Regions from separate parts of the Mus musculus genome. Here regions 1 and 3 are each reported to be linked to region 2. Evidence: microRNA targets listed by miRTarBase, many of them from high-throughput screens and not tested one by one. Region 2 holds a microRNA gene; each other region holds the end of a gene's coding sequence.
Evidence for each region. Region 2 holds the annotated microRNA mmu-let-7g-5p (UGAGGUAGUAGUUUGUACAGUU, at 1,736-1,757, shown strand). A microRNA usually pairs through its seed, bases 2 to 8, with sites in the 3' UTR of a target mRNA and lowers its output. Matches are read on the target gene's strand: a 7mer-m8 pairs with bases 2 to 8, a 7mer-A1 pairs with bases 2 to 7 and ends in A, and an 8mer does both.

Region 1: the mRNA of Cts8 is a reported target of mmu-let-7g-5p. Seed matches in the 3' UTR shown: 7mer-m8 at 1,101-1,107 and 7mer-m8 at 1,290-1,296.
Region 3: the mRNA of Nf2 is a reported target of mmu-let-7g-5p. The part of its 3' UTR that is shown has no 7-base or 8-base seed match.

What each region holds. Positions count from the first base shown.
Region 1 is chr13:61,245,683-61,248,840 of GRCm38, reverse strand. It overlaps Cts8 (cathepsin 8), which reads left to right. Exons shown (of 8, transcript NM_019541.3): 8 at 588-2,094. The coding sequence ends at 687. Among named protein-coding and RNA genes, the nearest start is that of Cts8, 8.1 kb to the left of the region's middle.
Region 2 is chr9:106,177,111-106,180,274 of GRCm38, forward strand. Mirlet7g (microRNA let7g) reads left to right here and starts at 1,730; the gene lies at 1,730-1,817. The region is part of intron 2 of Wdr82 (WD repeat domain containing 82); the gene reads left to right.
Region 3 is chr11:4,777,972-4,781,135 of GRCm38, reverse strand. Nf2 (neurofibromin 2) reads left to right here. Exons shown (of 17, transcript NM_001252250.1): 16 at 514-558. The coding sequence ends at 549. Among named protein-coding and RNA genes, the nearest start is that of Cabp7, 32 kb to the right of the region's middle.

The DNA of each region.
Region 1 (3,158 bases), not on the chromosome of region 2:
TTTCACTCATGTGAGGATGTTTGTGTGAATTTTTATTCTACGTGTGAGCAGCTGCACATGGAGATGTGAAGACGACATCAGATTCTCTGAAAATATAGTTACAGGAGTCTGTGAGCTGATTGACTTGGTTGCTGGGAAAGGAACAAGCTTTCTGTGGAAAAAGCCCTTGTTCTTAGGCACAGACCCAACTCCAGCCCCAGGTGGAATCTTGGATTGAACTCCAGTCTTTTCTCTTTTGTGAACACCACTTGAACCTTTGAACACTATGGCTGGGTAATCAACTTATAGTATGTGTGTTGTTCAGATTTAGGCACTGGTTTCCTTGAGTAGTAATATGTTTGTGACACTGATTTTTCTAAAAGCTGAGATATTGTTGGTTCTGTGGGTGGAAAAATATCCTGAGTTTTCACTGCTGTGATTTGCACAGTCCTTTCTGAGATAACTTTGGTTTCTCAGAGTTGGATGTTTTGCATTTTCTGATCATGGAGTTAAGTAGGCTTCTGGATCAGTGGTTACACGTGGAGTTATTGTACTGAGTGCACTGTCCTGTGTTCTTTCTACTAAATGGGATACATGGTTTCTTTCAGTCATGGTGAGCAATGGGGCATGAATGGCTACATGAAGCTTGCCAGAGGCAGGAACAACCACTGTGGAATTGCTTCATATGCCGTCTACCCCAGAGTGTAAACTGCCTGATGGTAAGAAGGAAGGGTTGGAATGGAGACAGCCTGTGAAGTGGAGGCACTTTCTGTTTACCATGACCAGCCTCTGCTGCATGGATAGAGTTCATGAGTTACTGCAGAACGTGATGTAATGTGAATTCTGTTATGTTTTTATCCAGTAAGACATGATGGATACTGTAACTTAAGCACTTCACTTATTTGTATTTGATTCCCATAACTTGATTTTGTGTTTGTTTAATGATTGTATAAAACAATATCTTTAAAGAATATTTAAGTTCAAATGAAGTGTCTGTCTTCTTTTTGTTTTGAAAGTAGTGACTTTTAAATTGTATGTAGTTCATTTCATTTAATATATGTTTTAGTTAAAATATAATTATATTAACCCATTTATTTCTTTCCTCCAACAACTTTTCCTCCCTACCTCCTCACATATTCCCCACTCTCATCTAGTCTCAAATTGATTGGTTTTTTTGTTGTTGTTGTTTTGTTTGTTTGTTTTGGTTTTGGTTTTTTTTTTTGTTTTTTGAGACAGGGTTTCTCTGTATAGCCCTGGCTGTCCTGGAACTCACTCTGTAGACCAGGCTGGCCTCAAATTCAGAAATCCACCTACCTCTGCCTCCCAAGTGCTGGGATTGAAGACATGCACCACCACCGCCAGGCTAAATTGATTGTTTCTTATTCTCTGGTGATTTTCATTATATATACGTATATGTGTATATGTATATATTTGTGAATATATAATGAAACCAGCTGAAGGCTGAATCAATTTTTGTTCCTTCTATGTTCAAGACTTTAGGACTAATCACATTGTTTAGGTAGTTGATCAGGGGTTCACCCCTGGGAGTGCTCATTCTCCTTTTAGTATTCATAACTCCTGCATGTAAGGCTCAGGGAATATTGTGGAAGATAGGGCAGAATGACTTAGAGACAAAGGATCATGAAATATACAAGGAGACTGTATGTCCAAAAAATTGTTGCTTAAACAATATATGTACAATGACAACATCAATAGCCTTATCAGCTGGGAATAAGGAACAACTTTAGAGTTCCCACTGCCAGGTAATGAGCTACAGGATATTAATTTTGTTGTCACATTAATAACTCAGTATAAAGACATACATTTGTGTTCTGTTGATGTTCTTAGAGAAAGAAGGGTGGCTCTTTTGTTATTGTCAATTTTCCATCTTTAGTAATGTGTGTGTTAAATTAGATTTTGTGTATCGACTATCACTGTGAATCCCCCTTGCCTTACTTCCATCCTGTGTAGCATCTTCATTGTGAATGTACTGAAGACATCGGCAAAACTGGATCTGCAGTTACAGATTTTTATTCAAATGACACTTTCAGAAGTTTTAGTGTCTCAGAGGCAAGAGAGCTGAAACATGCCTTTTAAATAAAACCTCCTAGAATCAATGTTCTGTTGTATTATTTTTTGTTGTTAATGTTTGAATTTAGTTATCAGATGCACTGAACTTTGTCATAGACAGATAGATAGAAAGATAGATAGATAGATAGATAGATAGATAGATAGATAGATAGATAGATAGATAGGGATATGGATATAGATATAGAGATATATAGAGAAAATTATTGCAGGCACACACACACACACATTGTGTACATTCATATATGTCTATAATGGAACACACAAATATACACATACATAGTTTAGTACTTATTTTGTACTAGAATCTAATGTAGATTTTAAAATGTATCCAGAGTATATAAGAGATGATGAGCCTAGTGTTTTCTTATTTTAGCTTTCCAGTGGTTTCATTTTAGAGACAAATGAGTGTTTCTAGTGACCTTCACTACATGGAGAATACATTAGATGAGGTCAGAAAAATGGGTCCCTCACCATATAGATTGATAACTTTTGCCAAATCGAAGTTTATGGTGGTATTGGCTTTGTTATACCAGATTACATCATAGGAATGTCTATGCCTGGAAATTTTGATAGAGAGTTTATTTAAAGCAACTATCTCAATGCCACTGCGCTCCCAGCAAGAGATACTCCTACACATGTACTAGGCATGTCTGGTAGGGGTTGACTACAACCCAAGCTCCTTTAAAATATGACTTTATTTCTTGATTAGGGAATAGAAACATGTTGGCTTATAACTGATGATTATAGACAGAGATATGATCCAGCTAAGCCTTGGTTTTTGTGATATCTGACAATTTCCTACAGACATAATTAGAACATTATATTTTGTTTCAATTTGGTGAGTCTGGTAACATGCTCTCTAGAGGCTTTTTTCTTTCTTTCTTTTTTATTAGATATTTTATTTATTTACGTTTCAAATGTTATTCCCTTTCCTAGTTTCCCCTTCGAAAATCCCCTATCCTCTCCCTTCTCCCCCCTCCTCCCTCCCCCTGCTTCAGTCATGGAACATGCTGGTTCTTGTTTAGGAATGCTCTGCTAAATATTAGTTGAGGTTTTCTACCCTATATTAGATCATTTAATTCCCAAAT
Region 2 (3,164 bases):
GGAGTCTGAGGCTGGAGGAGTGGGAGTACCAGGCTAGCCAAAGCTAGCCAAGGCGCGCACACGCACACGCACACACACACACACACACACACACACACACACACACACACACACACACACACGGTGAGATCTTCTAAAAGGCAGGGGGTTGGGGTAAACCTTTACATTTCTAACTGAGGGAGAATAAAACAAAATTTGCAGATGTACTAAATGCAGACTGGAAAGGAGACCAAATGCGGGAGATTAAGAATAGTAGTGCCCCCAGCGCTCAGGAGGCGGGTGTGCAGCAGGGCCTTGGTTTGAGCCCTACCTGGGCCATTGAGCATTTGTAGCTTGACCCCGTCTTAAAAACAACAGAGGAACAAAAAGACATCCAAATAGTTAGAAGAGGTTAGCTCTTCTGTGGTTTGTGTCACACGGTGCAGTGACTGTGGTTGTAAATTCCAGGAATACCTTTTGTTTTGCTTTAGAGTAAAGGTATTTTTTAAGAATTGAAACATCCTTTTTAATAACTAGTATCTGCTTTTGACTGATTTCCCCTCGAATAAGTCCCTAAGTCAACAGAACTGTCTCAGTGCTTGAACTGTCGTGTGCTTGTTATTTTTTCTCATTTTAGCCTTGTTAATACTAGTTTACTAATGCACTTTTTGCAGTAAGATTTTTTCATTTTGTTTTATTGAGATAGTATTACTGTGACTCAGTTTGCCCTGCTTCATACTCCTGGGTACTGAGTGTGTAGGTCTGTGCCGCTATCGCAGGCACAGTAGATTTTTCTTTAGGTATGTGTACATCTGAGTGGGTGTGTGCCTATGCCCTTGGGCCAGAATAGGGCATCAGGTCCTCTGGAGCTGGTGTTGCAGGCAAGTGAGCCACGTGCTGTGGGTGTTAACCAAACTCAGGACCTCTGGAACAACAGCAAGCACTGTTAACCACTGAGCCATCCCTTTGGCGGTACTTTTTTTTTTTTTTTTTTTTTTGATTGTGTATGTGTGTGGAGGTGGTATGTGCACATGTGAACATGGGTGCCCACAGAGTCTGGAAGCTGTCAGCTTCTGGAGTTGGAGTTACAGGCTCGTATGAGCCGTCTGACGTGGATCCTGGAAGGGGAGCTCAGGTCCTTTGCAAGAGCAGTGTGTGCTCATAACCACAGTGATTTATTTTGCCTCCCTCCCTGTTTTGATGCAGGCTCTCACTTTGTAGCCCCAGATGGCCTTGCACTCTGTATATAGATCAGGTTGGTCTTAAAATTAAACTTACAGGAACCCTCCTTGGTGCTGGGATTAAAGACGAGTGACGCCATGCCCAGCCACTCAGCAAGGATAGCCTAGGTGGCTATTTTAACCTTTCTCAAAGCAAATGGGCAGGCAGAAGTCTTTCTTTAATAAGACTTCTGTACTTGAACTTGATTTTATTGCATGTCTAATCATCTCTATTTTTCATGTATGTGTCAGATGTAGTTTTCTAAGTAGGCAATGCCACCGATGCTTTTGGATAAGGATAAATACTAGAATTCTGAGGGTATATAAAAATATATATAAATGACTGGTGTATTTCTTTTGTTGGGTTGTTTTTCTAAGTGATTAAACAATTCTCCAAATATGGTAAAGATGAGGCAAATGTGTGGCGGGTGCAGCTTTGCTGCCTGGCCTCTGCTGTGGGGATGTTGCCTTTCCTTCCTCAAGTGCGTCCTGCAGAGCTGCTCCAGCGCTCCGTTCTCTTTTGCCTGATTCCAGGCTGAGGTAGTAGTTTGTACAGTTTGAGGGTCTATGATACCACCCGGTACAGGAGATAACTGTACAGGCCACTGCCTTGCCAGGAACAGTGCACCAGCTACCAAATGGGGTGGAGAAGATGGTGAAGCCCTGCTCATCTCTGGGATTCCAGGTAATGGGAGGGGATCTCTCTTTAGGTCAGGTGAGTAGTTCCTGGCACTAGAATAACCAGAAATGCATTGTGGTTGTCATTTGAGAGGCTTGGAGTTGTTCAGATAAACCGTTTGAAACTGTTACAGAATATATAGAAGGGTTCTTTTTTTCTCTCTTATTGCAAATGCCCTCTCATTAGAAAGCATCCCTGCAAGCTAAGTGTGTTGCTCACACCAGTAATCCCAGCATTTGAGAGGCTGAGGCTGGGGGATTGCTGCTTTTTTGAGACTAACCTGGGCTGTATAATGGGTTTCAATCTAGCATGTGCTATAGAGTGAGACCCTGTCTCAAAACAAAGCCCACTCTTGAAGCCGCTTGGTTCTTTGGACCTCTTTATTGGGCGTTTTGCCTTCCCTCCTGCACTGTGGTGCCATGTTTTGTATTATTTGTTTCTCTTCCTATTTTTTGTTTTGTTTGTTTTCATTGATGTTTGAGTTTGGTTTTTGAGATAGGGCTTCAGTAAATGTATCCCATGCTGGTCACCAATGTGGTGAGGTTATAGAGTCACTACTTACAGCTTTTCTCTATCTTTCTTAGGAGCATAGTACTTTCTAATTTTATTCTTACCTTTTGTGGTGTTAGGGGTTAAGCCGTGGGCCTCACCCACTGATGGAATGCACCATGCGCTGAGCTGCCTACCCAGCCTCTCTTCATTCTGCTGTCAGTGTAGTCTTGTCTTTTCTTTCTTTCTTTTTCTTTTTTTTTTTTTTAATTTTTTACTCTATGTGTATGAATGGTTTGCTTGCATGTATATCTATGTATCCTGTATGTGTCTGGTGCTTGGGGAGGTTAGAAGAGGATGTCAGATCCCCTGGAACTGAAATTACAGATGGTTATGAAACCATGTGGCTCCTGGGATGGAGCCTGCTGCTCTAAATTGCCGAACCACCTCTCTAGACCCTCTTGCTTACTTTTTCTAGATAGACTGCTTTTTCCTTTCTTGATTTTTCTTTCTTTGACAGAATCTGTCTATGTAGTAGGCCCAACTTTACACAAACTAACTGTATAGCCCTCTAATTTGCCCTTCTGATGTTCAGTGTAAGAGTTATCACTTTGCAGACAGCTAAAATTAGTGTCCATAGCTTGTGATTTTTTCCCCCTTGCTAGGAAATACTTATTCAGGACAAGTTGAATTATTACTTGCAAATAGTACAAAGATTGGTAACAAAAAAGTGATTTTTTTTTTAATGTAGTTTTTAACTCCCAAATTCGCCTCCTCAATGCTGCAGATTGAACTCT
Region 3 (3,164 bases), not on the chromosome of region 2:
AGGCATCACCGCACTCCACACCCTCTCCCTCTGGCTCCTGTTGTCTTCTGGGTTTCTTGTTTCAAACAAAATGATTAAATGTCAGAGGGGAGTTTAAAACCAGGCGTGGTGACCCACAGAACTCAGGAGGAGGAGGCAGGAGGATTAAAGGTCATTTTGGACTGCAACAAAAATTCATGTCCAGCCTGTGTTATATAAGACCCTGTCTCATAAAGTGGGCGGGGGAGGTGGGGGTAAAGAGGAGGCTCTTAAGCTAAAACGTGATTGGGCTAGTGAACCAGTCAGCCCCCTCATCCTGCCTCCTTATCACCTGGCATCCTGAGCAGTCTCCTGGCCACTGCTGCTGTGGAGAACTGGGCTCTCAGCTGAAAACCAGAGAGGCCACTGTTCAAACTGTTTCACAGTACACCTGAGGTCACTGTCTCTATTTCTGAGCATTTTGCAAATGGCACATGTGGCATTTTGATTTCACAGGGTATGTCTTTGTTTTTTCATTTTATTTTGCTCATTTAGCCTCAAGCCCAAGGCAGAAGACCTATCTGCATTTGAGTCCTCAAAGTAGGTTATTCCCAGGTATTCTGTCTGTGGTGCTGGTCCTTCGTCTGTGGTACTAACCCGTGCATGAGCTTGCCTGTCTCTGTCCTCGGGCCACGCAGAGCCCTCCTGAGGGCAGGGAAGCCTGGGGCCTGGCCACAGCATGCTTTGAGGGTGAGAGCAGCTGTCCACCCTGGGGGGGCCCAGACCAGCCTCCCGGGCCTAGAAGACTGCCTCACTCTGAAGAGCATGCTGTGGGGATGCAGGACCAGTTGCTTGGTTTCCCTTATGTCACTGGTTGGGTTGGGGAAAGTCATGGCTCCCTTTCCAGTCAAATCTAAGTCCTTTTTCTTCTTGGTGGTATACTCCTTTGATAGATACCTCTAGCATGGAAGTGGGAATCAGTTCTGATGCTTTTAAGACTGATGTCTCTTGTTCAAGATCACTCCTCTCCTGTAGTGGTACGCTCTGCAAACTTATCACAGCTGGTAGCTTCTGGGTGTGGGCCACTCATTCTCATTTTTTCCTCAAGCCTTCTGTTCTCTGCACACCCCTTTTCTTTCCTAGGGCAGCAAACAGAACACTGGTGCATCTTTAAGCCAGTTGCAGTGAGTTGGCTGTCCCATGGCTGCTCTAAAGGCCACTTTGGCTTCTGTCCCCCTACCGCATGGAAGGAGCTGTGCATGGACAAGCTCATCTGCAACTGTCCCATTGCAGACACCCAGGAGATGAGTTAGCAGCATTTGTGTTGAGTCAACTAATTAAAGCATTACAGATTATTCTTTCAATATGCCCAGGCAATACAGGATTATCATGCCTAATATTTAAATGTTACCGTCCTTCCATTACTGCTTGATCCCCAGTCATACCCATGTCAGCATGCCTCTGACACTTCTGACAGAGAAATAGGCTATGTCCTTAGCGTCCTCACTGCAGTCAGGTAAAGAAACTCGGAACCTGGACGTTTCCGTTTGCTCATTGTCCACAAAGGAGGTCAGCTGTGACGTCCCAGGTGCATCAGGTAACTGAGAGTGCACAGAGGCCCCACGAACCCGAGACTGTCATTTGAGCCTGCCTGAGTGAATGCACTTCTTTTTTCAGCCTCATGCCCACTTTGGTTCTGCTACCCTGACATCATGCAGTGTGTGCTCTAAACAGGATATTGGAAAGTTGAATCTCTGCCCACATGGTAACCCAAGTGGATCTGTGGTGCTTCGTGCACTCTGGTCAGTGCAGGGCACTCGGAAAACCTTGCTATATCTTACCTGGTGCATCAGATGCTCCCTGCGTATAATTAGGCAATTTCATTAGAATGTGGGTTCATCTTTTGTTGTGTGATATAGAATATTTGTATTCTTCAGGGTCCTAAGTTTGATCATCAGTTCTCACTGAGTTGTTATAAACAAGAGAGGTTTCCTTTTTAGTCATCTTTGTATTGTTTCTAGACCTATAGCCTCATCATGCCAAGTGCCCAATGACAGATTGAGTACACAGTGCTGGGTCTGTACGTTTGTATTACCCAGTGGCATCACAGCCATCTTGGTCTATGATTTTCCCTTAGTGATAAGATCATCTACCAACACACCTCTCACTGCATGGCCCAATCATCAAGTAGCGAGTGACTGTATTTGGAAACGTTTGTTTGTTTGTTAGTTCATTCATTCATTCACTCAGGTGAATGCCTTAATGTGCCTGTTGTTTTCAAAACAGATTGCTAGGCTGTATTTAATTAAGAATTCTGATAACCAGCCGGGCGTGGTGGCGCACGCCTTTAATCCCAGCACTCGGGAGGCAGAGGCAGGCTGGTTTCTGAGTTCGAGGACAGCCAGGGCTATACAGAGAAACCCTGATAACCAAGAATTCTGATAACCAAGGTTACTAAAAGCAAGAACTTGTCTTTCAATATGATGCAAGTTCCTCTCAGCAATTTTAAACTAAATACTGGTGGATTTTGCTGTCTGAGGAATGTTTCATTTACTTAGGTAGTGGCAGTCTCTATGGCTAGTGGCCAGTGCTCATAACTGATGGTCACCTTCCTGTGTAGAGGTGGCTCTCAAGTCATTTCCACTACTGTCTGAACCATTGCTAGCCTAGCAGAAAAGTGTCCCTTCTGGCTTTGGAAGTGTGTGTACCTATTGGTCAAGGGAGGAGCTCCATTTTGACATTGGGGATGAGAGATTCTTAGAGAGGGTTTCTCTTGCTGTGAAGAGACTCCATGACCATGGCAACTCATAGGAAGCATTCACTGGCTTACTTTCAGAGGTTTAGTTTAGTTCATAATCATTGTAGCAGGAAGCATGGTGGTACACAGGCAGACGTGGTGCTGGAGATGTAGCTGAGAGATGTACATTTCAGAAGACAGCACTGGGCCTGGCTTGAGCATTTAAAACTCTAAATGCCCACCCCTGGTGACACACTTCCTCCAACAAGGCCACACCTCCTAATGCCAGATTCTCTGGAATTAGAGTTACAGATGGTTGTGAGCCACCATATGGGTGCTGGGAATTGAACCCTGGTCTTCTGGAAAACCAACCAGTATTTTATTTTATTTTATTTTATTTATTTATTTATTTTTGGTTATTCGAGACAGGGTTTCTCGGTATAGCCCTGGCTGTCCTGGACCTCACTTT